Stegostoma tigrinum: one gene and its partners. The protein of the gene in region 1 interacts with the protein of each later gene in a pairwise test. Links are inferred from orthologs where the notes say so. Each region holds a gene or a part of one and is shown in the gene's direction. Other genes may lie near its edges. The genes, in order: fars2, RCC1 and BTB domain-containing protein 2-like and appl1.

Region 1 (10,182 bases):
TTGTCCTGCAGCTATGTCTCTGTAATGGTGATCAGATCATATTTTAGTTCAATACTTGTAATGAATTCACTATGTATACAGCCTTTAGTTTTATATTTTCGTAAATTTTTATCTTGATTGTTATCATATTCCATTTTTTTCCCCTCGTTTTCCATTCCTGCCATCATTGCACCCTCGTTTCTCATAAACTATTTTACTCTCTAACCTTCTATCTAGTCTTTAATATACGACATCTTTCCAATTTTGATCCCTTACTCCAAATGGGAAAGCAGAGTAAATGAAGGTGAAATGTCACTAAGTACATGAATGAAACTAATTCTACAATAGTGTTGAAGTTGCTTTGTGTTCTGGAAATCAGTCTATTCATATTGCAGGGAGCAGGTGCACAGCAATTGCTTTAAAGTTTGGCTAATGGGCTTTTTCCACATTTATCGTGAGAAGTACTTTGAGGGTTTTGAACCAAAGTGGAGTTATGCGAGAGGATAACACTTCAGTCAAAGGATTATGTATTCAAGTCCACAACTTAAGCACATAAGTTTAGTAGTGAGAGAATGGTGTACTGTTGGAGAGACCATATTTTGGATTTGGTTTTAAACTGACACCAGTGTTGCCTTTTCAAGATGGATAGAAAAGATCCCACAGCACAAGTCACAGCAAACTACCATTTAATTATCCACTGAGATGGGAAAGGACACAAGAGAAGAGAAAACAATAGTACTAACAAGTCATTAATGAACATAACCTTGTTCCTAGAATCTAACATATTGATGCAATTACAGCAAATCAGCAAACACCAAAGGCGTTATAGATTATAACTGCTTTTCAGCATCAGGGGTCAACTTCCACAATTAAGCAAGTTTAAAAACAGCCTTATTTATAAATGCTGTACTCCAAGATCAACCTGAAGTCAAGGGAATTAGTGTCCTTCTTGCACCTTGAGATGGTACAGCACTGCAGTGTTGCAGAACAATGATTACACATGAGCAGTACAATAGATTTCCTGGGAGATAAAAACTAACTTAATAAAAAGCCTTAAAATATACTGCAGTAGGATTGCACTGGGAAGAAGATTCAACCATCCAGATCACATTGTGACTGTAATACAAAGAACTTTCATAACTTACTTTGTGATAATGTATGTACAACACTTAATCATAACCAAATGAATCATTAAAGTGTAAGAACTGGAGGAAGCATTATTTCACTGAGCTGGATAACAGGCATTGAGGCCAAGTATGTTCAGCCTTTGATAAGGTTGATTGCAGAGTCAAGCAGGACAATATTCTTGTTTTGCATACTTACATGTTAGATTTTCTTGATTTTTGCAGACAGACACTAAATACCTTTGTTCTTCCACAGCCCCTTATCCCTCACTGATGTGGAAGTGCTGGTGTTGGACTGGGACTGACAAGGTCAAAAATCACAAGACAGCAGGTATAGGCAAATGAATGATCAAATGAAAAAGTAGAGCACAGGAACAGGCCCTTTGGCCTTTCAAGCTGGTGCTGACCATCATGCTGTAATTAATCTTAAAAAAAACCTGCCATTTTTCGATCTGTATCCCTCTATTCCTTCCCTATTCATGTACCCGTCTAAGTGCCTCTTAAATGTTTTCAATGTGCCCACTTCCGTCACCTCTTCTGGCAGTGCATTCCAGCTGCTATCATTCTCTGTGTGAAAAACGTCCCTCGCACATCTCCATTAAACTTAGGATTTAGGGTTAGTGAATCGGTGTTCCCTTTTTGGGCATTGAATTGAGTTCGCTCAAATAGGGTGTGCCTTGTGTAATAATGGCTCTTTCAGAGGTTAAATTTTCCTGGTGTGGAAGAAGTCACTTGGGGTAGTTTACAGAAGGTGTGCAACTTTTGGAATTGGCAGGCAAGTTGGAGTTGAAATTGCGTTCCCCATGAGGAAAGGGGAGGTAATTGCAGCAATAGCTCGATACTTACAATTGCCAGAAATGCAATCGGAAATTGTAAATGGCTAAAAATCAATCACAACTGATGCAGCCTGAATATGAAGATCGAAAACAGATGAAAAACAAATGAGAAGAAAGGGAGACTTTTTGAACTTCAGAAGTTGGAACTGAAAACTGAAAGCTAACTTAAAATGGTGGAGGCAGAGGTGAAAGGTAGTAGTGACGAGGACGAAGATGCAGAGCGTTGTAGTCAAAGCCTGGTAGGAATCTGTTTAAATATGTCTAAGCATTGTCCTTTTTGTTGAGCGTAGGCATAGAAGCCTTTTTCATTTCATCAGATCAGCCACGGTATTGCTGATTAACAGAAGCCTCAAGGGACCAAATAGACTGCTCCTGTGTCTAATTTGCAGGTACTGTACCAGTTCTGGTAGCCAAGACAAGGAGGGGAAGCAGTGTGAGGAGACCCCATGACAAGCAACAATATATCATTGACTCCATCTTGAGCTCATCCAAAGCTCCGAAACACTTACATGTCACTGAACTTGGTAAAATTCTTGGCTTCTTATCCAATATCATCACAATATTTTAAAATCTCAATGTATTCAAACGCCTTCAACGCACGTCTTATCTTAGTAATCTTCTCCAGTGCTACAACTAGGGTCTCTGCACTCTGATAATGCTCATGTATCTCAATTTTCATTACACCAGCATTAATGGCCAAGTCTTCAGCTAGCCTAGCTTTCAGCTTTCGAAATGCTTTTCTTGGGACATTGTTCTCTGCTCAGAACAGAAAAACAGGCCATTCTTCGCTGCTCCGACCATTAATAAGATTGTGGCTGATCCTCTACTTCAACTCTGTCTACCTGCACTATTCTTGTATCTCTCAAATCCCTTAATCCTCTAAAAACCTTTCAATATTTATTTTGAACCAGTGCTGTGCATATTCAGCCTCTAAAAGAAAGAATATTCCAAGAATTCAGAATCATTTGAGTAAAGAAATTTGTCATCTCCCTCCTAAATTTGTGACACCTTTTTTGAGGCTATGCTTCTTAGGTAAAGGCACATTGCTGTTAACTGACTTGTCTTGTTTTATTAGATGTTTGATATTACTTGGCTGCAAATAAACTAATGGGTCTTGATCATCAAGAACAAGATGCACTGCAGCAAGTTCCCAAGTTCCCTTGTCAGCACCTTCCAAAACTGACAATCTTTACCACCTAGGAGGACAAGGCTAGCATACTGAAGGACAGAATTAATCTCAATTTGGACCAACAAAGATTAATTAAGGATAGTCAACATGTGTCTGTCAAGGCGAGATTGTATTTGACAAGTCTGATTTGAGTTATTTGAAGTGGTTAATAAGTGTGGAGATGACAGTGGGCAGCTTGTGCACTTTAAATGTACTTCAGTAAATTTTTTGACAAGATGTCATACAGGATATGTCATACCAGTATCCTGGTCAAGAAGGTAAAAGCCCATACACTCCTGTACCACAGGGTTCAATATTGTTTATAGTGCTCATTAATGATCTAGGCATGAATGTAGGAGGTTTGATCAGTAAGTTTACAGATGACAGGAAAATTGGTGGTGTGGTAAATGAGCAGGAAAGCCTTAGACCACAGGATGATACAGTCAGGTTGGTCAGAAGGGAAGAACAGTGGCAAATGGAATTGAATCCAGAAAAGTGAGGTGATGCACTTTGGGAGCACAAACAAGGCAAGGGAGTACACAATGTACTTAGAAGTACAGAGGATCACACAGATTTTTGTTCATGTCACATATCCTTGAAGACAACAGTACAGGTAGATGAAATGGTTAGGAAATCATGGGATACTTGTCTTTATGTGTCAAGATGCTGAATACAAGAGCAGAAAAGTTTTGACGGAGCTGCAAAAGATGTTAGTTAAACCACAACTGGATTGTTGTGTGCAGTACTGGTCACAACACTGTCGGAAGGATGTGAATGCTCTAGAGAGGATTCACCAGGATATCGGCTGGGCTGGAGCGTCTCAACTATGATGAGAAACTAGATAGACTGGGGTTGTTTCCCTTAAAGGACAAAAGACAGGTAGGGGCTTAACTGATAAATACAAAATTATGAGGTATAGAAAGTTCGAAAGGAAGAAAATTCTCCTAGTAGAGGGTTCAGTAATTGAGCAGTTTAGATTTAAAAGACAGGAGGTTTAGAAGGAATTCAAGGAAGAACATTTTCACCAAATTAGTGATGGGTATCCAGAGCTCTGCCTGAATGAGTGGTAAAGGTGCGAACGATCACAACATTTAAGTAGTATTTCAATAAACACTTGCAAGGCGTAACATACAAGGCTATGGGCCAAGTGCTTAAAAAACAAGATGTGCCCAGGCTGCTGTGTTCATCCACCTCTACACCTTGTTATCTCAGACTGCAGAGTCGGCAGCTCCTACTATCTCTGAATGAGCAGATAAATGCTTGATGACCAGTGAGTGTGTGAAGGGCTGGAGGAAATATGTGTGTTGTAAAAGGACTGACTTTAATAATACATCTAAAAGTCCGGAGATTGTATCCTAAATAAAAACAGAAAGAACTGCAGATACTGTAAATCAGGGACAAAAACTGAAGTTGCTGGAAAAGCTCAGCAGGCCTGGCAGCATTTGTGAAGAAAATAAAAATCAGAGTTAACGTTTTTCATCAGGTGACCCCTTCCTCAGCTCTTGTTGTTGCAACTCTATCTTATTCAGCACAAAATCTTAATCAAGCTTTAGTCTGGCATTGGTGACCTACATTCCCATAACAATTAATTGATTGTAAAGCATTTTGATTTTTTTCCAACGATCATGAAAGACAATGTATAAACATATGACTTTCTTGACACTTCCACCTTCAACTTCTCAATCTTGGTTTGAAATCCCTTCATGGTCTCACCCAGTGTTTCTGAATTTTATCCAGGACCCAAAGCCAGAAACACACCTATCCCTGGTCAGGTCTGACATTTTGTGGATCTCCCACTGATCCCTTTTTTTCAAACCTTTCTTTAAAGCCGATCTCTCAGATTTCTGATGAAGGGTCTAGGCCCGAAACGTCAGCTTTCCTAAATAATAAAGTGTGAAGCTGGATGAACACAGCAGGCCAAGGAGCATCTCAGGAGCACAAAAGCTGACGTTTCGAGCCTAGACCCTTCATCAGAGAGCCTAGGTCTAGGCCCGAAACGTCAGCTTTTGTGCTCCTGAGATGCTGCTTGGCCTGCTGTGTTCATCCAGTTTCACACTTTGTTATCTTGGATTCCCCAGCACCTGCAGTTCCTATTATATCAAACTTAAATTCTGTTCGCCGCTTCTAATCTCGCTTTTGCCTGAGATTTTTTTTTCCCGTGTGTGTGTGTGTGTGCGCGCGCGCGCGCGAGCTTTTGATTGCGTTTTTGCCCGTTTTTCTCGCATTAAGAACGGCTACATAAATAAAATGTCAGTGGTTGAAATTAAATTGCGGCTTAAGTGGGATGGAGGAGTGTGACATGGGATTGATAAGCAAAGTACGTAGCAAATATCAACATTCCCTGGCGGAAAACAAAATTACTTCTTTTTACCTATAATTGTAACTGGTGAACTTCTTGCTTTCTTTCAGCATCAACCTGTATAAAGACAGGACCTGACTGCTTGTGGGCACCGCCATCTTCGTTCTTCGGTCTTTACCACGCAGGACCCCGGTGGCTGGGCGCGCGTGCCTGAAATGGAACGTTGTGCAGGCAACGGCTGTCCTGTGGAACCTTCGACCGTTCAGGATTCAAAACAAAACTGAATACGTCCGTTCTGCTTTTGCCTTGCAAAATCCTAAAAGTAGGATCCACTGTTCGCATTCTCTAACACCTTTTATTTTCATAAAACTGTTCTCTCCTCTCGACTGGCAAGACAGTGTCCTACTATTGTCAATTTGTGTTGTTGAGGTGGTGGGAGGGGAAAAAAGAGGTCAAGGAAGGGACGGTGTCACTGTTGTATCTTTGCAAAGAAGGTGAGTTGGTTCGTGAGAAGTTGTGCATGTTAAGAGCACAGGGATATAGAATATGCCCGTGGTGGTTCCTTTTTTTTTAAACAAGGTCATCGTTCCAAAAAGGAGTTCTCTTTTATAATCCTGAGACTAAAATAGAAGGGACGTGTCGGGGAACCACGTCCGGTGTCTCGAGGAATGCAATTCATTGCACAGTTACTTGCTGTTGGGCAGGGTTAATAATCGTTATCAGGTTTTGTTCTTCATGCACGCAACTTTTGAGCGCTCCTCCGATCTCTCATTTTTGGCTGTGACGCAGCCTGTACAAAAAGGACGCGAAACAATGCAGAAACGCCGTTGGTGCTGGAGATCTGAAACTAAAATAAAGTGGATGGCAATGAGCAACGTTTTCACACCGGGAGGCTCATTAGGGTCTGGAATACCTTTTATCTGAAAGAGTGGTAGAGACAGATTCCTCCACGAATTGGGATTTGCAGGATTATGGGGGTAGAGGAGGGTGTGTACGACAAAAGCGGGTAGAAAGATATGTAGAAATGATGTAGCTGGTATGTACTTAACAAAAGGTGACAATTCTGCTTTCATCACAGCACAAATACATTCACTCAACCAGAAATCTCAAGACTAAGGCTACGTCAGATTTTAGACTTTGTTGGATTTCTGGTCAGGTTCTTTGGACTGTGGGTGTTCAAGCCAATTGGATAATATGGAGTACACAAAGTGTGGAGCTGGATGAAGACAGCAGGCCAAGCAGCATCAGAGGATCAGGAAAGCTGACCCTTCTCGACCCGAAATGTCAGCTTTCCTGCTGTGTTCATCCAGCTCTACACCTTTTGTTATCTCGGATTCTCCAGCGTCAGCAATTCCTACTATCTCTGCATAATATGGAGTCAATGTTGTTTGAAATGTGGGAGATGTGTGATATAAACAGACCAGTTTCTCTGGTGTAAATTCTGTGTTACCTTGTTCTTAGTCACATGTATCTTGTACACAAATCAAAGCACTTATTCAAAATATTGCCATTTGTGCTTGAAAAGAGTTTTCCCTTAGAGCTTTCTTATGAGGTTTTGCTTGTCAATAGCTATTTGATCTATAAGTTAGTTAATATAAAATATATGCTGCCTTTTTAATCTCACACAGCATTGGTCACATCTACACAGTTACCACGGCTCTATTGAGATTTTTTTAATGGAGCAGGAATTCTGGTAGTATTGATAATAAGTGACTGCCACCAAGTGAGTTGAGAGGGAATTTGTTTTGGAGTAATAAAATTAGCAATACACTTAGTCTCTATACATTTTTGTACAGATCACTCCATGTCCCAATAGCCTACTGATCTTATCATAGGAGAAATCCATTTAAATCCTTCTGTTGTTTCCAAAGTATGATGAGAAACATAGAGGAACAGGAGGAGGTCATTTGTACCCTTCGAGCCTGTTCTGCTAATCATCACGTTCATGGCTGATTGTCCAACTCAAGAGCCTAATCCTGCTTTCACTCCAACTGCTATATCTGGCTGCCTTTTGAGTACATTCAACTACTTCCTGTGGTAATGAATTCCACAGGCTCATCACTTTTGGGTGAACAAGTATCTCCTCATCTCCATTCTCTGTCTATCCCAAATCCCTAGACTGTGACCCCTGTGCTGGACACGTCCATCAGGAACAGGCTCCCTGCATCTACCCTGTCCAGTCCCATTAAGATTTTAAAAGTCTCTATGACATCTCCTCTTCTCCCCTCTTTCCCCCCCCCCCCCAACTCGCTCATCTGAATTCCAGCGAAAATAATCCTAATCTAGTCAATCTCTCCACTTGTCAGTCCCACCATCCCTGGAATCAGCCTGGTAACCTTCACTGTAGTCCCTTGAGAGCAAGAGTGACTTCCTCAGAAAAGGAGACCAAAATTGCACACAATGTTCTAAGTGTGGTCCTGCCAAGGCCCTGTATAACTGCAACAACACTTCCCTGCTCCTACACTCAACCTCTCGCTATGAAAGCAAACATACCATTTGCCTGCTTTACTGCCTGTTGCACCTACATGCTTACCTGACTGGTGCACAAGAACATTCAGGTCCTATTGCACACTCCCCTCTCCCAATTTACAGCCATTCTGTAGATCTAAACAGTGTAATAAATTATTCATGTGCTGTTTTCACTCAAGTTGTAAATCTGGGACATTCTCATTTCCCAACTTTGATCAATTCATTGACAAAGACAGTTAGATTTAAATAATTACAAGTAGACATTCTCAAAATTGGCAGTCTACAAACCAGAATTGTCCAGAAACTGGGTATTTTTGAATGTGCATGGCATTTTTTTTTTGTTACTCAGTTGAAATTGACTTATCTGGATGATGCATAAATGTATTTGTTAGTTTGCTTGCTCACTAGTTTATTCTTATGTTCCAAGTGACCCAATCTGAATTGGCCTGAACATCCACTGTCCAAAGCAGCAGAAATCCAAATCCAAGATCCAGTACAACCTCAACGGAGTGTACTGTTGAAGGATCCAATAGATGCTTATTTCAACTGGTTATCATGTATAATTATTGAATTACAAACACGTAAGAGTTACAGATAAGTGTTACACTAATGTTATAGCTGAGCATCATACTTGTAGTAGCAATTCATACTTCAAGTGATCTACTTAAGGTGGAGTATGCAGTGTTTATACAATTAGGTCATATTCTATGATACAATGATGATATCACAAGCTCATCTTTTAAAAGTATACTGATGTACTGTGTCTCAAAATATATTCTGATTTTTCAGACTGAGAATAAGTAAGGAAATTATTATTAAGGAAATTATGGATTTCAGCAAGGCGTTCGATAAGGTTCCCCACAATAGGCTATTGTACAAAATGCGGAGGAATGGAATTGTGGGAGATATAGCAGTTTGGATTGGAAATTGGCTTGCCGAAAGAAGACTGAGGCTGGTAGTTGATGGGAAATGTTCATCCTGGAGACCAGTTACTAGTGGTGTACCGCAAGGGTCGGTGTTGGGTCCACTGCTGTTTGTCATTTTTATAAATACCTGGATGAGGGCGTAGAAGGATGGGTTAGTAAATTTGCAGACGACACTAAGGTCGGTGGAGTTGTGGATAGTGACAAAGGATGCTGTAGGTTGCAGAGAGACATAGATAAGCTGCAGAGCTGGGCTGAGAGGTGGCAAATGGAGTTTAATGCAGACAAGTGTGAGGTGATGCACTTTGGTAGGAGTAACCGGAAGGCAAAGTACAGGGCTAATGGTAAGATTCTTAGTAGTGTAGATGAGCAGAGAGATCTCGGTGTCTATGTACACAGATCCTTGAAAGTTGCCACCCAGGTTGACAGGGCTGTTAAGAAGGCATACAGTGTTTTAGCTTTTATTAATAGAGGGATCGAGTTCCGGAACCAAGAGGTTATGGTGAAGCTGTACAAAACTCTGGTGCGGCCACACTTGGAGTATTGTGTACAGTTCTGGTCACCGCATTATAAGAAGGATGTGGAAGCTTTGGAAAGGGTGCAGAGGAGATTTACTAGGATGTTGCCTGGTATGGAGGGAAAGTCTTACGAGGAAAGGCTGAGGGACTTGAGGCTGTTTTCATTAGAGAGAAGAAGGTTGAGAGGTGACTTAATTGAGACACATAAGATAATCAGTGGGTTAGATAGGGTGGATAGGGAAAGCCTTTTTCCTAGGATGGTGATGGCGAGCACGAGGGGGCATAGCTTTAAATTGAGGGGTGAAAGATATAGGACAGATGTCAGAGGTAGTTTCTTTACTCAGAAAGTAGTAAGGGAATGGAACGCTTTGCCTGCAACAGTAGTAGATTCGCCCACTTTAGGTACATTTAAGTCGTCATTGGATAAGCATATGGACGTACGTGCAATAGTGCAGGTTAGATGGGCTTTAGATCGGTATGACAGGTCGGCACAACATCGAGGGCCGAAGGGCCTGTACTGTGCTGTTATGTTCTATGTTCTATCTGTGGTATGTGCGAAATGATGAGTGACAAAAATGTTTGCTTGTGGTCTCTGGTTCTTCTGCTAATCATCTTACGTTTGTGTCCTTTATTTATTTTTTTGCAAACCATTCTGGACTGTGAACACTTCATCTAATTAACTTCTATTCTTTTTCTGCTCCTTGGTAAATAACATCTCTGCATGACTGAAGTCGCTAAACCCTGGGATGATTCTAGTAAATCATGTTTGTATCATTTCCAAAGCCCTGACGTTCTTCCTAAAGTGTGAACTCCAGAATCGAACAAGATATTATAGCTGATGTTTAACCAGTATGTTAAAGGGTTAG
Region 2 (9,970 bases), on another chromosome or scaffold:
ACTATGCCCTCTGGTGCATGACTCTACCAAGAGAAGAAACATCTTCTCAGTACTTACCTTGTCAAGCCCTTTAAGAATCTTATGCTTTAATGAGATCACCTGTCATTTTTCTAAACTCCAGTGAGTAGAGACCCAACTTGTTTTGCTTTTGCTCATAGGACAATCCCTATTTAACAGGGATCATCCGAGTGAAACTTCACAGAACTGCTTCCAATGAAATGACATCTTTCCTTAAACAGGGGACCAAAACTGTTCACAGCACTCTGGATGTGATCTCCCCAGCACCTTGTACAGTTGCAGTAAGGCTTGTTTGCCCTTATATTCTTGAAGTACGAGCCAACATTCCACCTGTGTGCTAGCTTACTGTGTTCCATGTACAAGTACTCCCAAGTCCAGGGTTGCAGTATTCTGCACTTTTTCTCCATTTAGCTAATAGTCTGTTCAACCTTCCAAAATGAGCATTTTCCCACCTTATACTCCATTTGCCAACTTTTGCTCACTTAATTAAAGTATAAACTGTTTGTATCCCTCTCATAACCTTTCTTTCCCGTTATTTTTGTGTCACCTCCAAATTTGGCTAGTGTACATAGGCTTCCTGCCTCCAAGTGATTAATATTTATTATTAATTATTGATTAGTATGTATTGTAATGTTAAGCAGAAATGTATAAACAGGCAAAAGTGTATTTGAATATATTCTCCTTTTTAATTGCATGGACAAAAGTACTTTACACTTATGTTTCCTTGCAGCTTTTTTACTTGATTCTGTGATGTTCTAAACTAACCTGACTTGCTACACTTAACAATTCTTTTCACCAGCACAATGCAGTGAACTGCCCGATGGACATTCTTGTACCAGTCACATCCTGCCAAACTGATGCCAATGAAGGCCAGTCCTTAAGCTGCATCAGACATGCTGTCAGCACTATGTGGAAGACAGCCAATGTGTTATTGAGCAAACTGCCAATTTACTTTCAGAAAGTAATCCAGTCTGTTCTTGGCCAATCAACGAGTGTAATATTGAATGGTCAGCTACTGGTCTATTGAGTGATCAGTTAGTGTACTATCAAATAGTGGTCACTGAGAGTGTTACCAGCTCCCCATTCCACCAATCACCATTCGTTAAAATTCACTTCTGGGACTTCATGGTTTAATAAAACTATTTTGTTATCAAGAACTTAATTACATTGTGCCCACTGTAAGCCAGCAGATCCCAAACTGTGAAGTGACTGCAAATAGGCTTACAGAGTAAGCGGAAGGACTGCGAATCAGAGCATCCAGTCCTGCTCGATGTTCACACCATTAACAAATTCAATGTGTGAGTCATTGATTTACTCTTTCCCCATTTTATCCTTCTCCCATTTAATCTTTCTAATGGATCCAATCTAACCTTCTGTGGTGTGATTCCTGGAATTTACTTTCTTCATTTCAAGATCATTTAGATAAGTCATGTATGCAACTTACTTTAAAAACAAAGTTGCTTGAAAAGCTCAGCAGGTCTGGCAGCATCTGTGAAGGAAGAAAACAGAGTTAACATTTCGGATCCGGTGTCCCTTCCTCAGGACCCGAAAAGTTAACTCTGTTTTTTTCTTTACAGATGCTGCCAGACCTGGTGAACTTTTCAAGTAACTTTGTTTTTGTTCCTGATTTACAGCATCCGCAGTTCTTTTGGTTTTCATTAGGCAACTTACCAATGTGAGTTTCAGTGCCTTAGCCCATATTGGAACCTGGTGTGCACTGAAAAATAGAATGGTGGGTCAACATGCCATTTGATCTGAAAAAATTAACTGGAGCCTGAGGAGAAGTTGTTCTTACATCTTGATTGGTGATGGAGGGTGTGAGGAAGAGGTAAATTAGTGAAGCTGTAACCTTTATAACTATTACTTAATACAGTCTGAAACAGTTTAATCCCAGAAACCGAAAGAACTGAGGATCCTCTAAATCAGAAACAAAAACAGAAGACGCTGTAAAAGCTCACCTGGTCTGGCAGCATCTATGAAGAGAAATCAGATCTGAAGAAGGGTTACCGGACCCAAAACATTAACTCTGTTTTCTCTTTACAGATGCTGCCAGATCTGCTGAGCTTTCCAGCCACTCCTGGTTTTATTTCATTCTAGAATCAGTTTATTCCAGTTGGATGTAGAGGAATTGACTTTATTAGAACTGTAAGTTTTAACAAAAATGTTAGTAAAGTGTGATTTTTTTTTAATTAGGTAACAGTAACGGGAGAATAGGGTTGGTGACTCACTCACAGACCAAATCAGGCTGTCGTACCTGCTGTATTTTGCTTCTGATTTCCCAAGATAGCTGAACTGTGTGGAATGAAAGAGGCTGATTAAACGAACATGCCTGTCTGTATGTATTACGGAGGTGACAGCAGGGCAGATGTTGGTAGCTAATCACTCTGTTTTGATGCGGACGTGGAGGAAGAAGGGCCTCACTAAATTTTCTGTCGTCATATGGTATGCTTGGCTGAAACCTTGGGCAGAATCTTACACTTCCTAGCAAAAGCAATGGTGAGAAAAGTGGGAAAATACAATGATAAATAATTCCCAAGATTTTCGACTTCAAGAAAGGCTTGTCTGATTATTAGCTCAAAACTCAAAAAGCGACTTCAGAATCTCAACTTTGAGTGTTAACTCCCTTATTTCCATGCATTTGTCTCATTAAAATTCCAAACTGCACTATTTTTTCCTGTTTTACCAGTGCTCCACTGAGAAACTAGATGGAAAAATTCCTGACATATAAATTAGAGCAGATATCTGGCAGCTGCTGCTTTCTGAATGCTTCTCCTGGTTATCATGCAACAGCTTCTTCCAGAACAATGCCCCTCATTCACCATGGCCACCATTCTCCTTGACTCTTCACCCATACAAGTCAGCATCAATAAACCAGCGGCCTCAGCACAACATCATGCTTGCTCCCGGACAGCACTTTGGACACTTATGACTTGCACACCTCTACCAGGTTGCTTTGGGTGCAGGGAAATGCAGCTGTACAGGATGCTTTGACACTGACACAAACAAACACATCTTATAACTCAGTCGTTTCTTCATGTTCACGCATTTCACTTACTTGGTTCCTGTCAGACTGTTTACTTCACATTACTTTCTTAGTGCACACTAACCAATGTCAGCACTGACTTACAGGCTATCAGATGTTGTGATCTGCTTTGCTTTTTAGCATGATGTGAGAGGCTGGCAGCTAATGACATTGTGGAACACTGAACAATCAATCTTCAATCGGATAGAGGGTGGACATGTCACTTTGCTACACCATGCTATGTCAATATCAGAGCTGTCGCATGTATCAGCAATTTATGCAGTAAATACATTGCCCTTTGCTTGAAACACACAAGGTGTGAAAGTCAAAGGAGATCAGTCTTTAATGGGGTCAAGGGCGAAATAAGTCATTAGCAGGCTCCACATAATTAACTTACATTACAACCGGATTGTCGCTGTCAATACGATGCTTGTTTCTAAGAGAATCTGGAGATCAGTGTCTTTGCAGCCCAGGAATTCAAGTGAAACTGTCAGGATTACAGGTATATCAGAAGGGACACTACGGAGATGTCAGTTGAAGGACGGTGAAACGGTCAGTCAGGGATGTTCTACCAAACAGGTTTGGGAGTTGGCAATGGTCAATCCTGGGGATTTGGCCTGTAATGGTCAGAGGACTTATCAGGGGTAGATCATGGAGTCCTGGGCATGCCAAGCAACTCGAGGGATGGCTTCATTGTACTGGATAACTGAGGGAATGATGACAGTCATAAGAAGCAATCAGAGATCATAGTGAGTAGGAGAGGACTGGGAGATCTAGATGGGAGATTTCAAACAGGTCATGGTGACTCTGTCCTTTACATAAGGTGTAGGTGCAAAACGGCAATCCTCTGGTTTATTACTGAGCATTGACATATTGCACGCATTTTTCTTTCACGTTGATGTTATCCTTAACTTCCCTGGTGAACCATAGTTGGCTTATGCCAAGATTCCTTCGTCCTCAATGGGATATATACTTACTGTGAGCCATGAACTACTTTGCTTAATGCCTGCGGTTGTTCGTCAAACTTATTTTTAAACCTGAATTCCTGTCCAGACCAGCTAGCTCTGCCTGGATTCATTTGTGTTTAAGATAACAAGGTGTAGAGCTGGATGAATACAGCAGGCCAAGCAGCATCAGAGGAGCAGGAAGGCTGACATTTCGGGCCTAGACCCTTCCTCAGAAAAACCCTATTTCTACTTAGCAGTTTTGCACTCTGAAATTGAATGCTAAATTCCACCACGTATGGTCACCGTTTTAGGTTACCCACAATCATTGCACTGCCTTTTTGACAATCCCTCATCATCTTCTTATTTATTTTCCGTTCCACTGCACAGTTATTGTTTGGGACCAATAGATTATTCCTAGCAGTGCCTTCCTCACCTAGTTATTTCTTATCTCCACCCATGTGTATCCTATATCTTCTGATCGAAGGGCATTTCTTGCAATTGTGCTTACTCCATCTGCTTTCCCAATATTTAATTGGAGGTTATTCCTTCACATCTATTTTTCATGTCAAATGAGCAGTACAGTCGTTTAGCAGCAGTGTGGGAGATAAAGTAAGCGGTTGGTGCAACTAGTCGAAAATCGTTCTGAGATGTAATAAGTAATTCACGCTAAAAAAGTAAGAAGCAGAATTTACTGTCACGTCAAATTTATATCCGTATTGCAACCCAGCCACGGTATGTTTATCCCTGGCGCTGAGGTGGCCTCTTTCCAACTCTCTTGAGGGATTTGTTACACCTCTGAGTTGAGCAGCACGACCCTCCTGTTTTGAATCGCGTGTAATACAATGGTCATGCTCTTGTCTTAAAAAGTCAGGCTCCCTGCCGCTGCTCCAGCGTCGCTGACGGTGGCGGATGTTGCTGTCGCCTCATGCACTGCCCCTCGAAGCCGCTGATCCGTCAGTCCTTCAGCATGGACATGTCGCTGGCTGTTCGTCTCGAGACAGTGACAGTTAGGATTCGAGCGCTCGGCTCAACGCGGTAGCATTCCAAACCCGGCGCGTGAGGGCGGCTCTTGGACCCTGATTGGTCTCTGCAGTTTCACAGGACACTCGATTGGTATAGCCTTGGAAACAGGAAGAGTAATCGAGTCGATAAACGCTTTTGGGCCTGTCTGAAGCTTGTTTGTTTACGTGGTCCAAATGTAAGTTTTGTAAATGCGGGATGTACAATTCCTCTGGCTGACAAAAAAAAAATCTTTTGCTCAATCTGCTTAGTAAAGATACAGTATAGGCTTCCATAAAAGAGCTTTCAGAAGCATAAATATTCTGTTCATATTGTAATCGGCAGAAGTTATTATTACTGTGTGGTTGAGAATTTCTACCTGTCCTAATATTTTCTTCATACATTAAAAGCTTACTAAGATCACCAGGAATAAGTGATAAAGATCACCAGGACATGTCTAGCCTCCGCGCAGCTGCCAGTGTGTTCTAGAATGTATGCCAAGTATAGAATGCAGGCTCCGCTCATATTTGGCCATGGCTGAATATGGCAATGGTCAAATGCTAGTGTTTTTCGAAGTAGTAGCACTATATCCTTGAAAAATTTTAAAGTGGAGATAACTAGCAACCTCCCTCAAAAAAGAAATCCAAAGTAAGCTTATCTCCTAACCCTCAAAAAAACATCTTTCTTGACGATTAATGGTTTTGTCTGGTAATAGAATCGTGATTGTAGCTAAATGATTGGATGCAGGGCTTTTGGGATACTGTTTGAGTATGCTTCTCAGTAGACAAAATCCTGTAGTTTGATGCTTTTTGGATACTTATTATTGTTCCTCAATTAGAGAATGGTGTGTATATCTGCATCATCATGTACTGTCTTAAATGCAACATATGAACCTGCCTTCACTACATTTCAAGGCAGTACATTCCATACCCTAACTGCTTGCTGTGAGAAATATTTCCTTTGTGCAGCACTTTAAATGTATGCCCCCTTCTTCTTTTTGCTTTTACGACTGGAAATGTCTCCTAACAACTGTGTCCAGTCTGCTCACGGTGTCAAAGAACTCTATCAAATACCCACTCAGTTTTCTCTTGAAGGAGAATAATCCCAATTTCTTCAACATGTCCTGAACTGAAGTTTGTCATTCCTGGCGCCATTCTTGTAAGTTGCTTCCACACTCTCTTCAGCGTGCTTACATCTTTCGTACAATGTGGCATCTACAATTCTACATAATAGACCAGCTGAAGTCTAACAAGCAGTTTGTACAAGTTCAACATCACCATCTTGCCCCATTGATAGAGTCAAAAACACACTGTTTTATTAACTGCTCCTCCCAGCTGTCCTGCAACCTTCAATGATCTGCGCACACATACTATCCAGGCCCCTTTTCTCTCCTGAACTCATTATAGAATTGTACTCCCTAATTTGAATCATCTTTCAATGTTCATCCGACCAAAGTACATCACATCTCATCTCCTCTTTAAACATCACATTTCAGATATTGCATCACAGAAATGTTCTATGATCAAGGAGATGCTGAGAGGTTTTCTGACACGACCACAATTTCATACCATGCACTGCTTATCCAAAATCTTAAAATCTATATTCCTTAGCCTTTGTACTGTCACCTAATGAGAACAGCTTTTCTTTATGTGCTTTACCTAAACCTGTCATAGCCTTGTACGCTTCTATCAAATCTTTCTTGCTGTCAGGCAACAACCTCAGCTTCTCCAACATAGCCTTGTAGTTAAAGTTCTTAGAACATATCCTTAGAACCATTCTGTTAAATCTCTATGCTTTGTCAAGGACCCTAACCACTTTCCCCAAATGTGGTGACCAGAAATAGATGCAATGGGAGGGAGGCATTACTGTCTTTTTTTTGACCATTTTTGCAAGCCTTGGGGTCGAGGTGCTGCGGGTTAAATCTAATAGTGGGCCTAGATGAACACTAGCCTTGGTTGAGGAGGGTGAGCAGCAATAAGGTAATGGCAGGGTAAGATCTTGTTCGTTTCTACTATGTTGGGTAGTTATTAAAAGGGCAGAGATGACAATCAGTGGAGTGGTATGCTCCTCCTGTCCAAAGTGTAAGATTAGCGAGTGGTCAAGATTCCCTGGCGACTACATCTGCAGGAAGTGTGTCTGTCTACACCTCCTCTAAGACCAAATGGATTGGTTGGTGCAGCAGTTGGACACACTGAAAAGCATTCATGAGGCACAGAATGTGATAGATTGTAGTTTCAGGGAGGTGGTCACACTGCAAATTCATGCAGATAGACGGGAGACTGCCAGGAGAGGTACGCAGGTAGTGCAAGAGTCTTCTGTGGCTATCCCCCTCTCAAATAAGTGTACTATTTTGGATACTGTTGTGGGGGAAAACAGCAGCAGGAGCCTGGTATTTTGGCACCACGACTGGTTCTGCAGTAAAGCAGGATATGGCAAGGTGCAAGCGAGCAGTTGTGATAAGGGACTTTCTAGTCAAGGCACAGACAGCGTTTCTGTGGCCGTGAATGAGGCTCCAGGATGGTGTGTTGCCTCTCTGGTGCCAGGGTCAAAGACATTTTTGGAGTGGTTGCAGCAAACTCTCAAAGGAGAGCATGAGCAGCCAGAGGTCTTTGTACACATTGGTACCAACAACATAGGTAGAAGAAGGGATGAAGCCCTGCAAAATGAATATAGGGAGTTAGGCAGGAGGTTAAAAAACAAGACTTCAAGGCTAGTAATCTCTAGATTACTCCTAGTGCCATATGCAAGTGAGAGAGGGAAAAGGGGGATAGGGCAGATGAATACGTTGCTGAGGGACTGGTTCCGGGGGCAAGGATTCAGATTTTTGGACCGTTAGGATTTTTTCTGGGGCAGAAGTACCCTGTACAAGAGCGAGGGGTTGCACCTGAAAGGGAGGCTTCAGTATCCTGCCGGGGAGATTTTCTAGCACTGCTCTGGAGGGTTATAAACTAGTCTGCCAATGGTGTGGTACCATAAGCACTAGTGAGACGAGAGAAGGTTGAGACTGATGCAGAAGTTAAAGGGAACATAGCTAAATAGATAAGCCAGGCAACAGCTCAGCAAGGAATTAAACTGATGAATTAAACTACAATTATTTCAATGTAAAGGGCCTGACAGGTAAGGCAGATGAACTCAGGATGGATGGGAACGTGAGACTGGGGGATCGTAGATATTACTGAAACATGACTGAGCTGCCAGACCTGTCCGTCGCTCAATGTTCCAGCGTACAGATGCTAGAGGAACGCTAGAAGGGGAGGCAAGAGAGGAGGGGAAGTGGTGTTTTTGACTGGGGAAACAGCACGCCAGTACTGTGATTATTCCTGGGAGATTGTCCAGTGAAGTATATGGCTGGAATAGAGAAATAAGGAAGGGACGATCACTTTGAGATGGGATTGTACTGTAAGCTCCTCAATAGTCAGTGGGAAATTGAGGGGCAAATATGTAAGGAGATGGCAGATAGCTGCAGGAATAATAAGGTTGTAATCAGGTTTTAACTTCCCAAACATAGACTCCAATTTCCTCCCACAGTCCAAAGGTGTGCAGGGTAGGTGGATTGGCCATGCTAAAATTGCCTATACTGCCCAGGGATGTTATGTTGGGTGGGTTAGACATGGAGAAATGTAGGGTTAGGGGAAATGGGTGTGGGTGGGATGCTGTTCAGAGGGGCGGTGTGGACCTGTTGGGCCAAAAATCGCCTGTCCCCACACTATAGGGATTCTATGAAACTTGACATCCAATTTGCACAAACAACAACAACAGTATTTACAAATCATGAGATAAACAACCTTTTTTTTGAAGCGAGAGATAACAAGACCTGCAGATGTTGCAGTCAGAGATAATAAAAAGTGTGGAGATGGAGGAACACAGCAGGCCAGGCAGCATCAGAGGACATTTCGTCAGCTGCTCCTCTGAAGCTGCCTAGCCTGCTGTGTTCCTCCAGCTACACACATGTTTTAAAGTAATGTTGTTTGAAGGATTAATATTAGCAGGACTCAAAAAGAACTCACCAGCTCTAGCGACTTTACTTACTCTAGCCACATGAAGGAGCAGATGCAACCTCAATTTGTGGCTGGAATCCTGCCAACTTGGTCAGCATTGAGATCGAACCCATGACCCGTGTGTCATTTGCACCACACTCTAGCCAGCTGAGTTAACCAACCTAAAGTATAATTGTAATTATACTTCAAAAATACTTCCTTGGTCTCAAAGACCTTTGGGACATGTTGGGATCTTGAAATAGAAGTTTTGTTATTCTTCAGTTAGTTTGAGTGCAGAGGCCATTCCTATGTGTGAAGTTCATAATAAACTACCCTTTTTTTTGTCTGAGGCACTGGAACGGGCATGCAGGAGCTAAATCCCGTCACATAACACTCCTTTAGATGGTATTTGTGAGGAGAGCAAATTAAAATGGTCCCTAGGATTTGTGGGCTTCCAGTACATTTGTAAATGTGTTTTATAGATCAGGAAGTTTAGAAGAGATGAAAAAGAATTTAAATGTTTTAAGAGGTTTCATAAATCTATGTATTGATAGATTTTGTACAGTTATCTTTTCTCCCTCATGTTATTTGTCTGCAAATGTCTAAAAGTCTGTCCTAATCAAAGTAGACTTAAATGAAATTTGAATTGTATGTTTTCATAAGCTATTATCCAAATTGCATTTTTAAATTTATTTCTTCTTATCTTCCCAATTATACACAATTTGAAGCAGGTTGTTGAAATCTACCAGGTTTCTACCAGTGTTTTAGTGAACCTACCCACCAGAAGGAATTTGGAATGACCCTATTGCACTCTGTATTCCCACCTGTGAGGATAGCACCCCACCCCATCTGAACCTCTCTCCACTTAGTAAAGCTGCATTAGGGAAACTCAACAGATAGGGAAACAAACCTGCAACTAAGCAGTAGATAGTTTTTTTTTCACCTCCAAATTTATAGTTTCATCATGAATTGAAAATAAGAGCACAGATATGATTAATTTATTTCTG
Region 3 (10,151 bases), on another chromosome or scaffold:
CTTACTCTGCTTCCCACACTCCGTTTCTATACTCCGGTTCCTGCGCTCTGCGATACCCTGTTTCCCACACTCTGTTTCCCGTGCCCTGTTTCCCACGCTCCTGTCGCCACGCTCCATTTCCCCATTGACATGTTATTGGGATAACATCCCATTGATTTCCATATTCGCTATAAATTAATGCTCTTTATCTGCTTACACAGAGGTATGCAGACACTGCCTTAAAACTTCCTGCCCAACTGGAATGAGGTGTAAAACTTAGTAAATCCTTATCTTCCTACACATAGGTAGAAAGACACTGCCTTAAGCTTCCTGCCTGAATAGAATTAGGTATAAACTTTGTAAGTCTTTATCTTCCTGCACAGGGATATGTAGAAACTGTCTCAAATAAGATTAGGTCGGAAGCATTTGTAAAGGTGAGAGACTTCTGAAATCCTGTAAAGTATGTAACTTCTGTTTCTGCTAAAGGAGCCAAGGCACTGACTTTTGTTCAAGCCAGACACTTTGGCAACCTGAAATCGCCTCCTGCCATTAGCAGTCACTTCACAAACGATCAATACTGTATCCTGCTCTCTTTATGGTTTCGATGTAGTAATTGTTTGTGCGTCATGTAATTGTCTGATGTAGTGATTGTTTCACGTATCACGCCATTGTGAGATGTAAAATTGCTTTATGTACTATGCGCTCGATAAGGTATAAAAAGCGAGGACAGTCCACCGCTCAGGAGACTCTGCACTCTGTGCCAGGCTGAGTACAGTGATCCTCCACAGCTTGTACTTGCTTTGTAATAAAGGATTTGTTTTTCTAAACAGGCCAGTGTCTTGTTATTGCATCAAGTCCATGAGGGTTTCCCTGCATGCTGTTTCTGCTTCTGTGGTTTTGCATATTTGTTACACATCCACTGTTTCTGCCCTTCTGTTTGCCAACTTCTGCTCGTGCCCCTGTTTCCAGTCCTCTGACTCAGCCCTACCATTTCATCCCAGCTGTTTCAGACCCTCTGTTCCTGCACCTCTCTTGCTGTGCCTCAATTTCTGCCCCTCTCTTTTTCTCATCCTCTCGTTCTACCACTGTTTCTAATTATCTCGGTATGCACCACTGTTTCTTCCGCTCTGTTTCTCATCCTTGTTTCCCATTCTTTATTTCAGCCCCTCTGCTTCAGTTTCTGCTCTTCTGTTCTTCATCCTGTAATTCTGACCCTATGTTTCTCAACTCCTTTCTGATTCGCTGTTTCTGCTCCTGTTTCAGCCCCACTGTATTATTACATTCTTTGTTTTTCATCCTCCCTTCCTGCCCTTCAGTTTCTCATCCTCTTGTTTCTGATTCTGTTTCACATACTGTTTGTACACCTCAGTTTCTGTGCCTGTGATTCCAATCCTATGTTTCTACCCCTCCGGTTTCACATCCTCTGTTTCTGGTTGTCTGTTTCTCATTATCTCTTTCTGCCCCTATGGCTTGACATGACTGTGTCACATCCTCTGTTTCTGCTGCTCTGTCATCTTCTGTTTTTGCCCCTCTGTTTCCAAACTTATGTTTCTGTTACTCTGTCTGTTTCTCATTCTCTGTTTCAGCAGCACAGTTTCTCATCCTCATCTTACGCCCTTCTATTTCTCAAAGTCTGTTTCTGTTTCTGGTCCTCTGTTTCTGCACTTCAATTTGTGACTATTTCTGCCCCTCTGATTCCAAGTCTGTTTCAACCACCCCCCAAGTGGTTGAGAACGCCCTCGACCATGTCTCCCACATTTCTGATATCCATTTCAAGCCTACCGACTTCCCACAGCGACCTCGAACTCTCCCTCCACCGACCTTCCTGCAAAAATACCATCCCCTATTCCCAATTCCTTCGCCTTCACCACATCTGCTCCCAGGATGAGGCATTCCACTCCCAAACATCTCAGATGCCCTTGTTTTTAAAGGATTGCAACTTCCCCACCCTCACTGGTCAAGAACGTCCTCGACCGTATCTCCTACATTTCACCGCAACTCATCCCTCACACCCCCTCCCAACAATAACAACCAAAACAGAGTCCCCCTCATCAACACGTACCACCTCACCAACCTCCGGATCCAACGCATCATCCTCCGACACTTCTGCCATCTGCAATCCAACCCCACCACCAAAAGATATTTCTCCCCTCCCCAACCTTATCTGCTTTCCGGAGGGATCACTCTCTCCATGACTTCCTTGTCTACTCCACACTCCCCTCCAGCCCAAGCACACCTCCCTAATTATTTCAGAATCCCGTTCCCCTCCCCCATTTCTGAAGAAGGGTCTAGGCCCAAAACGTCAGCTTTCCTGCTCCTCTGATGCTGCTTGGCCTGCTGTGTTCATCTAGCTGTATACTTTGTTATCTCAGATTCTCCAGCATCTGCAGTTCCTACTATGTCTCTTCTCCTCTGTTCCTTACTTTATTCCCCCCTGTTTCTGATCCTCTGTTTCTCATCCTCACCTTTTTCGCCATCTGTTTCTGCCCATTTGTTTCCAATCTTCTGTTTCTACCCCTCTATTTCACATTCTGTGTTTCCCATCCTCTGCTTCTCATTCTCTATTTTTCCCCTATGTTTCTTATCCTGTGTTTCTGCCCATCTGGTTTCACATCCTCTGTTCCTGCACCTGTTTCTCAATCTGTGTTTCTGGCCCTTGGGTTTGGCATGTCTGTTTCACATCCTGTGTCTGCCCCCCTATCTGCCAGATTCCTACTGTGCCCCTGTTTCCAATCCTCTGTTCCTGCCCCTTTCTTCCAGGATATCTGTTTCTGCACTGCTGTTTCTTGCCACTCCATTTCCCATTCTGTGTTTCTGTTTCTCATCCTCAGTGCGCCTTTCTCTGTCTCTGCCACTCTGTTTCTCAACCTCTTTTCCTCATCTTACATTTCTGTACCACTGTTTCTCATCCTCTTTTTCTTGTTCTTGAGCGTCATTCTCTGTTTCCATCCCTCTGTTTCACAAAATTTTTCCCTTATCCTCAATTTCTGCGCCTGTTTCAAAACCTCCCTTTCTACGCCTCAGTTTGTCATTCACAGCTTCTCATTCTTTCTCATTAATGTTTCTGCCCTTATGTTTCACATCCTCTGTTTCCCATTCTCTTTTCCTGCACCTCTGTTTCTCATACTCCTTTTTGCCCTTCAGTTTCTCATCCTGTTTCCAATCCTGTGTTTCTACCCCTCAGGTTTCACATCCTGTTTCTGCACCTGTTTGCCAGCTTCTGATTGTGCCCCTGTTTCCAATCCCCTGTTCCTGCCCTTCTGTTTCACATTCTCTCTTTCTCCTCCACTGTTTCTCCTCCTCTGTTTCTGCTCCTTTGTTTCACATCTGTTTCTGCGCCACTGTTTCTGCCCGTTTCTCATCATGTATTTCTGATTCTGTTTCTCATCCTGTGCCTCATTCTCTGTTTCCGCCCCTCTGTTTCTCAACCTCTTTTCTTCATCCTGTTTCTGTACCACTGTTTCTCATCCTCCTTTTCTGCACCTGTTTCCATGTGTCTGTTTCTGCCCATGTTTCTCACCTCTGTTTCTCATTCTCCATTTCTCATCCACGGTTACTACCCCTTCGTATTTCATCCTCTGTTTCTGCTATGCTGTTCCTTATACTGTTTCGGCCCCTCTGTTTTTCATCTTCTGTATCTCCTTTTCAGCAAGAATGACAAACAGGGGGGCAGAAAGATAGTGGCAGAAACTGATGGACAGAAACAGAGAATGACAGAATGCGGGGGGGGGGGGTGCAGAAAGATAGCGGCAGAAACAGAGAATGACAAACAGAGGGGCAGAAACATTCTCTGTATCTGTCCATCAGTTTCTGCCACTATCTGCCCCTCTGTTTGTCATTCACTGTTTCTCATTCTCGTTTGAGAGAGTAGAAATAGGGAATCTTAAAGAGTAAATGAGAAACACAGGATGAGAAACAGAAGCAGGACCAGTGTGGCAGAAACAGAAGATGAGAAAGAGAGGGGCAGAAGCAGAATAGCAGAATAAGTTTGGATCATTGACTGAAACTATAGCATTGTAACTTAGGCAAAGTTCTGAAACTCCCTATCTAACACCAAGTGACTAACTGAATCCCAAAGTGTGTAATAATGGTCATACCAGTGACAGCAACATGCCACAAATAACATTAAAAAGGGCTGTATTACACACAAGGTTGGAGGGAGTGTCCTATCTATAGCAGTTCTTGCTACTCCAAACTTCACATAAATCAAGTTGGAAAGGTTTTGATTGTACTGCAGAAGTTCTGCTCAGGTCGTGCCCTCAGCATGTCCCACAGTGCTCAGAGTACATGAGCTGTTTTCATTAGCACTAAACAGTATATACAGAGAAAGCATTCTGTACAGGGCTGACACTAATTTATGTGGAGATATGTTGCAAAGAATCACAGAAGTGTTACAGTGCAAAAGGAAGTCATTGGCCCATCTTGTCTTAACCAGCTCTTCAAAGGAACATCATTGCTAGTGCCAGCTTCATGCTTATCAGCCATATCCATGCATATTATTTCTATTCAAATAATCATCTGATTTCCTTTTGCATGGCTCAACTGAACCTGCTTCCAGAACACTTACAGGCAGTGCATTTCATACCCTCTGTCTTCTTTGCTCTTAGTATAGCAGACCTGTTCCTTCCTTTTCACTCCGGTATTTCCATACATTTTACAGCTCTTTTTCTGTTTCTGCACCTTTAACAACTTTTGCTTCGGACCTCTGCTTCTGCCAAAAGAAGCAACCATTTTCTCACAGCTTTCCAATTCTAAAGTCATTACAGACCCAAAACGTTAACTGTTTCTCTCCACTGATGCCGCCAGACATCCTCAGTTTTTCAAGCATTGCGTTCCTTTCACAACCAAAATGCTCAGTTTATGAAAAAGCTTTATTCTCAATCACATTTTTCACCTTTGGCAAATCACTTTCAATCTACGCCCTTTCATTCTTGGCCCTTACCTCCCCATCTACTTTATCCAGCCCCTTCACAATTCTTCGCCCTAAAAAGAGAGCAATCCCCCAACTTGTCTAAGTAAGTCCTGCGGAAGTATCACTGGATCTAAAACGTCAACTGATTTCTCTCTACAGATACTGCCGGACCTGCTGAGCTTTTCCAGCAATTTCTGTTTTCCTTCCCAACTTCTGCAACCAGACCTCACTACTGGAACATCTCAGCCCTCGAACCATTCCTGTAGATCACTTAAGCACTTGTAAACGTGGGCAGTAAACCAGAAACTCAACCCACTTTGTCACAAACGTAGCCCCTCGGCCTACACTTCTGAAGAAGGGTCTCGACCCAAATCATCAGCCTCCCGGCTCCTGCGAAGCGGCTGGACCCGCTGCTCACAACGGAAGTTGATGTTGGTGAGTGGCTGTGGAAACAGCCAATCAGTGGGCGAAGCCGACGGAGGCGGGACTTCTCTGACCGAGCCGACATCCCTCGTCGCCTTGGAGTTTGCAGCGAAAGGCGGGGAGGCCGCAGAGATGTTGGGGATCGAAAAACTGCCCATCGAGGAGACCTTGGAAGATAGCCCGCAGGTACAAATCGATGCAGCCGACCCTCCAGTTTCAGGCGGATCGCTGACACTCGATCAGATGTTAGCCTTTGAGCAGGTCGGGCAAAGGCCCACTCACCTCTAATGTAACTCTTCATGTTAATTGGAATGTCCACTGCTAAAGAGGCGTGAGAAACGGTGGTTGAACTGAGTAAAAAAAATCTGCTGTATGATAAGGAACACCTGGGGTGAAACTTACGGGGATATCAGAGACAAACGTTACGAAGGCTGGTCTTGTACTGCCTGTATTTTACTCAAATCTAAAGCGGCGTTTTTCTGGACAACCTCTGCATAATTGTCCGGCCTTTTGCCCGTTTAATTTTTAAGGGTATATCAGTGGGCTCAGGTTGCTGTGATAGCAGTGGCTCATTGATCCTACTGATCTCAGTCAAAAGGTTCACATCCCGCTGGCGGAAACTGGGCGGCCACTTAAAAGCTGGCAATTGAGACAAAGTTCGTTTTGCTCTCAGGTGAGCCTAGATGTCGCATGTCGCTATAGGTGGGGAGTTCTCCTCTAATGTCGTAAGCAATGTTTTACCCTCAACAGCCATCATTAAAAACACATTCTGATTGTAAATCTCAGTGTTTGTGGGATCGTGCTGTGTGCAAGCTGTCAGTGACATTTCCTTTTTATTACAGTAGATTTCCGTGGTTCCAAAAGGCTTAGTGCTGCCACATAAGTAGATGTTTGTTTTTCTGTAGTGAGTAATATGAGAACCTCTTTCAGTTCTGAGAAGTTTCACCAGGCTCAAAACGTTAACTCTGTTTTAAGCTTCACAGATGCTGCCAGACCTGCTGAGCTTTCTCGGCAACTTTGTTTTAGTTCCTGATTTACAGCATCCGCAGTTCTTTTGAGTAGTTTTTGTCAGTTTAGACTCAATAGGTCATAAAGGTTCTGTACTGTATGATTCTATGCTATGCTGAATGACCCTTCTCTGTGCTGAAATTCTAAACTACTCAACTTGCAAACAATAGGGAACAGGTCATGCCTTAACAGTAAACTAAGATTTTTTTTGTTTTAAATATAGCAGCACCAAAATGTTATACTTTAAAGATTATTCAAAATAACACACAGCAAATACAACATTCTGCAGTTAACATATGGGAATTGCCTGGGTGCAAACTGAAGCCATTCTTAGATCAAAAATATGAGGTTCTTATATTACTTACTACAGAAAGACATACATCTATTTATGTGGCAGCATTAAGTGCTTTGGTGCTTTTCAGTTCACAGATGCTGCCAGACCTGCTGAGTTTTTCAGGCAATGTTGTTTTTGTTTCATACACTGGTCCCTCTTGCTATATTTGGCCCATAGCCTTGAATGTCATATCATTAAATGGTCATCCAAGTACTTTTTAAAGATTCTGAGCTTTCCTGTATCAATTACTCTTCCAGGCAATGCATCCCAGATGCCACCACTCCCTGAGTGAAAAAAAATCCTCATACCTATTCTAAATTTTCTGCTATCAACTTGTTATTGATCATTGAACTAAGAGGAACTGATGCCTTCCATCCATCCTGTTCATGCCCCTCAAAATCTTACACCTCTTTCTCTGCTCTAAAGAAAACAACTTGCACTTATCTAGCCTCTCTTCATAACTAAAATACTCCATCTCAGTTAACATCCAGGTGAATGTTCTCTGCACCCCCAATGGTGCAGTCATGTCCTTCTTTCAGTGTGGTGACCAGAACTGCACACAGTATTACTTTGGCCTAACCAAAGTTTTATACAACTCCAACAAAATCTCCCTACATCTATTAATAATGCCACAACTGATAAAGGCAGCTGTTCTGTATGCCTTCACAACTATCATGTTAACCAATCCTGCCACCTTTAGCGATCAGTCTACAAATACCCCACACCCTGCTGTTCCTATTGAGCTTCCTATGTCCATGTCCATGTCACTTTGGGAAAAGCTGCCTGATTTTGTCTCTTACTCCGGCCGCCGCCTTTTAATCTTGCGTGTGAATTTCTTTCAAATGCATGTCTGTTGTGTTGGAATATGATGTGACCACCCTTTTAAGTAGTGCATTCCAGATTGCACAGATATACAGCACAGAAGCAGGTTAATCAGCTAAACTGGCTGGTATTAGTAGTCCATTTGAATATCCTGTTTTATCTAAATATTTCCTGATAACTCTGTATTTACTTCCCCCTTGTATACTTTCTGCCTTCCCTGCAAATAATTTCTGTTAATATCCTCCCTGTCTTTTGCTACAATTTCAAAACCTATTCCTTAATAATCGACCCATTATCTCCTTATTTCTTCTATCAAAACGCCAATTTTAACTACATCAATTGGGTCTCAGATTAGCATTCTTTGTTCTGAAGAGATTATTCCCAACTGCTCCAATTTCTCAATGTATCTGAAGTCCTTGTGGATTATATTACTTGCTGAACCACTTCAGTACCCTGTACAAGGTCTTGATGTCCTTACAAAAGTGTGGTGCCCAGAACTTCATAATACTTAGCTGAAGCCTAGCTAGTGATCTGTGAAAATGTGTTTTTTTTAATTAAATAACACTGTTTGTCAAATCAAGCATGCGTTAAGCTTTTTTAATTTTCTTCTTAACTGGTCCTGCCACCCTGGGAGACTTTGGATATGCATCCCAGGTTGCTTTAATGTTGAGTCCCCACTCTTCAAAACACTCTCTGTTCCCCATCACCTAACAGTTCTTTAAATTAAGTCATCCCAGTATGAATGTGCTCACAGAAAGATCTGGGAGTTCACGCAGAGAGATCTGGGTGTTAGGTCCATTGTACCCTGAAGGTGGCAACTCAGTACGATAGAGTGGTCAAGAAGGCATCTGGCATGCTTTCATTCATCGGAGGGGGTATTGAGTACAAGAGTTAGCAGGTCATGTTACAGTTGTGTAGGACTTTGGTTCAACCACATTTGGAATACTGCGTACAGTTCTGGCCGCCACATTACCAAAAGGACGTGGATGCTTTGGAGAGGGTGCAGAGAACATTCACCAGGAGATTGCCTGATATGGAGGGCACTAGCTATGAAGAAAGGTTGAGTAGATTAGGATTATTTATTATTTACATTAGAAAGACAGAGGTTGAGGGGTGAACCTGTTTGAGGTCTACAGAATCATGAGAGGTATTGACAAGGTGGATAGCAAGGAGCTTTTTCTCAGATTGGGGGACTCAATTACTACGGGGTCACGATTTCAGGGTGAGAGGGGAAAAGCTTAAGGGAGATATGCGTGGAAAGTTCTTTACACAGAGAGTGGTGGGTGCCTGGAATGTGTTGCCAGCGGAAATGGTCGAGGCGGGCACGATAGTGTCATTTAAGATGTATCTAGACAGATATATGAATAGGCAGGGAGCAGAGGGATATAGATCCTTGGAAATTAGGCAACATGTTCAGATAAAGGATCTGGATTGGCACAGGCTTGGCGGGCCAAAGGGCCTGTTCCTGTGCACACCCAGCAGCACATCCAGTAAAACTGATGATACCAGCACACACAGCAGCACGTCCAGTTCCACCGATGATACCAGCACACCCAGCAACACATCCAGTATCACTGATACCAGCACACCCAGCAGCATATCCAGTACCACTGACAGCACCAGCACATCCAGCAGCACATCCAGTACCACTGATGATACCAGCATAGCCAGTAGCACATCCAGTATCAGTGATGATACCAGCACACCCAGCAGCACGTCCAGTGCCACTGGCAACACCAGCACATACAGCAGCACTTCCAGTTACTCCAGCACACACAGCAGCATATCCGACGTCACTAGCACACACAGTAGCATATCCAGTACCGTCGATTACACCAGCACACTTAGCAGCAAGTCCAGTTCCACTGATATTACCAGCACACACAGCAGAACACCCAGTTCCACTGGCAGCGCCAGCACACACAGCAGCACTTCCAGTCATACCAGTACACACAGCAGTATATCCAATACCACAAGCAGTACCAGCACACCCAGCAGCACATCCATTACCACTGATGATACCAGCACACCCAGCAGCACATCCAGTACGAGCGACACCAGCATACCCACCAGCATGTCCATTACCACTGATGACACCAGCACGCACAGCAGCACACCCGGTTCCAATGGCAGCACCAGTACAGTCAGCAGCACTTTCAATTATGCCAGCACACCCAGCAGCACATCCATTACCACTGATAACAGCCCACATAGCAGCATATCCAGTACAATTTTCTTTGTTCTTTGTATTTCACTTGTCTGTTTATGTCCCCAGTGTCTATTACCATCCGCTATGTTGCAAAGATTATACCTTGCAGGATTTTTGAAATTGTAAACACTACTGCACCCAAGTCCAGATTAGTTGTACAAAAAGAAAAATAATGGCCTTAATGATGATAATAATAATAATAATAATAATCCCTGCAGTCCCCATTACATAACCCAAGTCAGAAAATCATTCATTCATCACTATTGTCTTTTGTGCTTTACCCGCATTACCACTGCTACTTTTATCCCAGTACTTCTATTTTCCTAATGTGTCTGTTACTTTACTAAGTATTACTTTACTTTGAAACTGCATTACTTTATTAAGACCCTTTTTGAAAGTTTATATAAAATCTATTGCACTATATTGAATTTTCTGTTGTATCCAATAGTCCAACCAGGTTTATC

Evidence for each region.
Region 2: the proteins of fars2 (region 1) and RCC1 and BTB domain-containing protein 2-like interact in binary tests that used the Homo sapiens proteins (3 or more experiments, as listed by UniProt). The two-hybrid records come from large-scale screens. The link is inferred for Stegostoma tigrinum from reciprocal best matches to the Homo sapiens genes FARS2 and RCBTB2.
Region 3: the proteins of fars2 (region 1) and appl1 interact in binary tests that used the Homo sapiens proteins (3 or more experiments, as listed by UniProt). The two-hybrid records come from large-scale screens. The link is inferred for Stegostoma tigrinum from reciprocal best matches to the Homo sapiens genes FARS2 and APPL1.

The regions. Positions count from the first base shown.
Region 1 is NC_081355.1:11,434,860-11,445,041, reverse strand, and holds the start of fars2 (phenylalanine--tRNA ligase, mitochondrial), read left to right. Parts: upstream 1-5,575; 5' UTR 5,576-5,728; exon of another isoform or gene 5,729-5,900; intron 5,901-10,182. Other genes in the region: LYR motif-containing protein 4, read right to left, coding at 5,479-5,564. UniProt on the Homo sapiens protein: Is responsible for the charging of tRNA(Phe) with phenylalanine in mitochondrial translation.
Region 2 is NC_081365.1:72,567,135-72,577,104, forward strand, and holds the start of RCC1 and BTB domain-containing protein 2-like, read left to right. Parts: upstream 1-5,058; 5' UTR 5,059-5,185; intron 5,186-9,970.
Region 3 is NC_081364.1:53,768,522-53,778,672, reverse strand, and holds the start of appl1 (DCC-interacting protein 13-alpha), read left to right. Parts: upstream 1-5,384; 5' UTR 5,385-5,446; coding exon 5,447-5,500; intron 5,501-5,521; exon of another isoform or gene 5,522-5,603; intron 5,604-5,897; exon of another isoform or gene 5,898-5,987; intron 5,988-10,151. UniProt on the Homo sapiens protein: Multifunctional adapter protein that binds to various membrane receptors, nuclear factors and signaling proteins to regulate many processes, such as cell proliferation, immune response, endosomal trafficking and cell metabolism.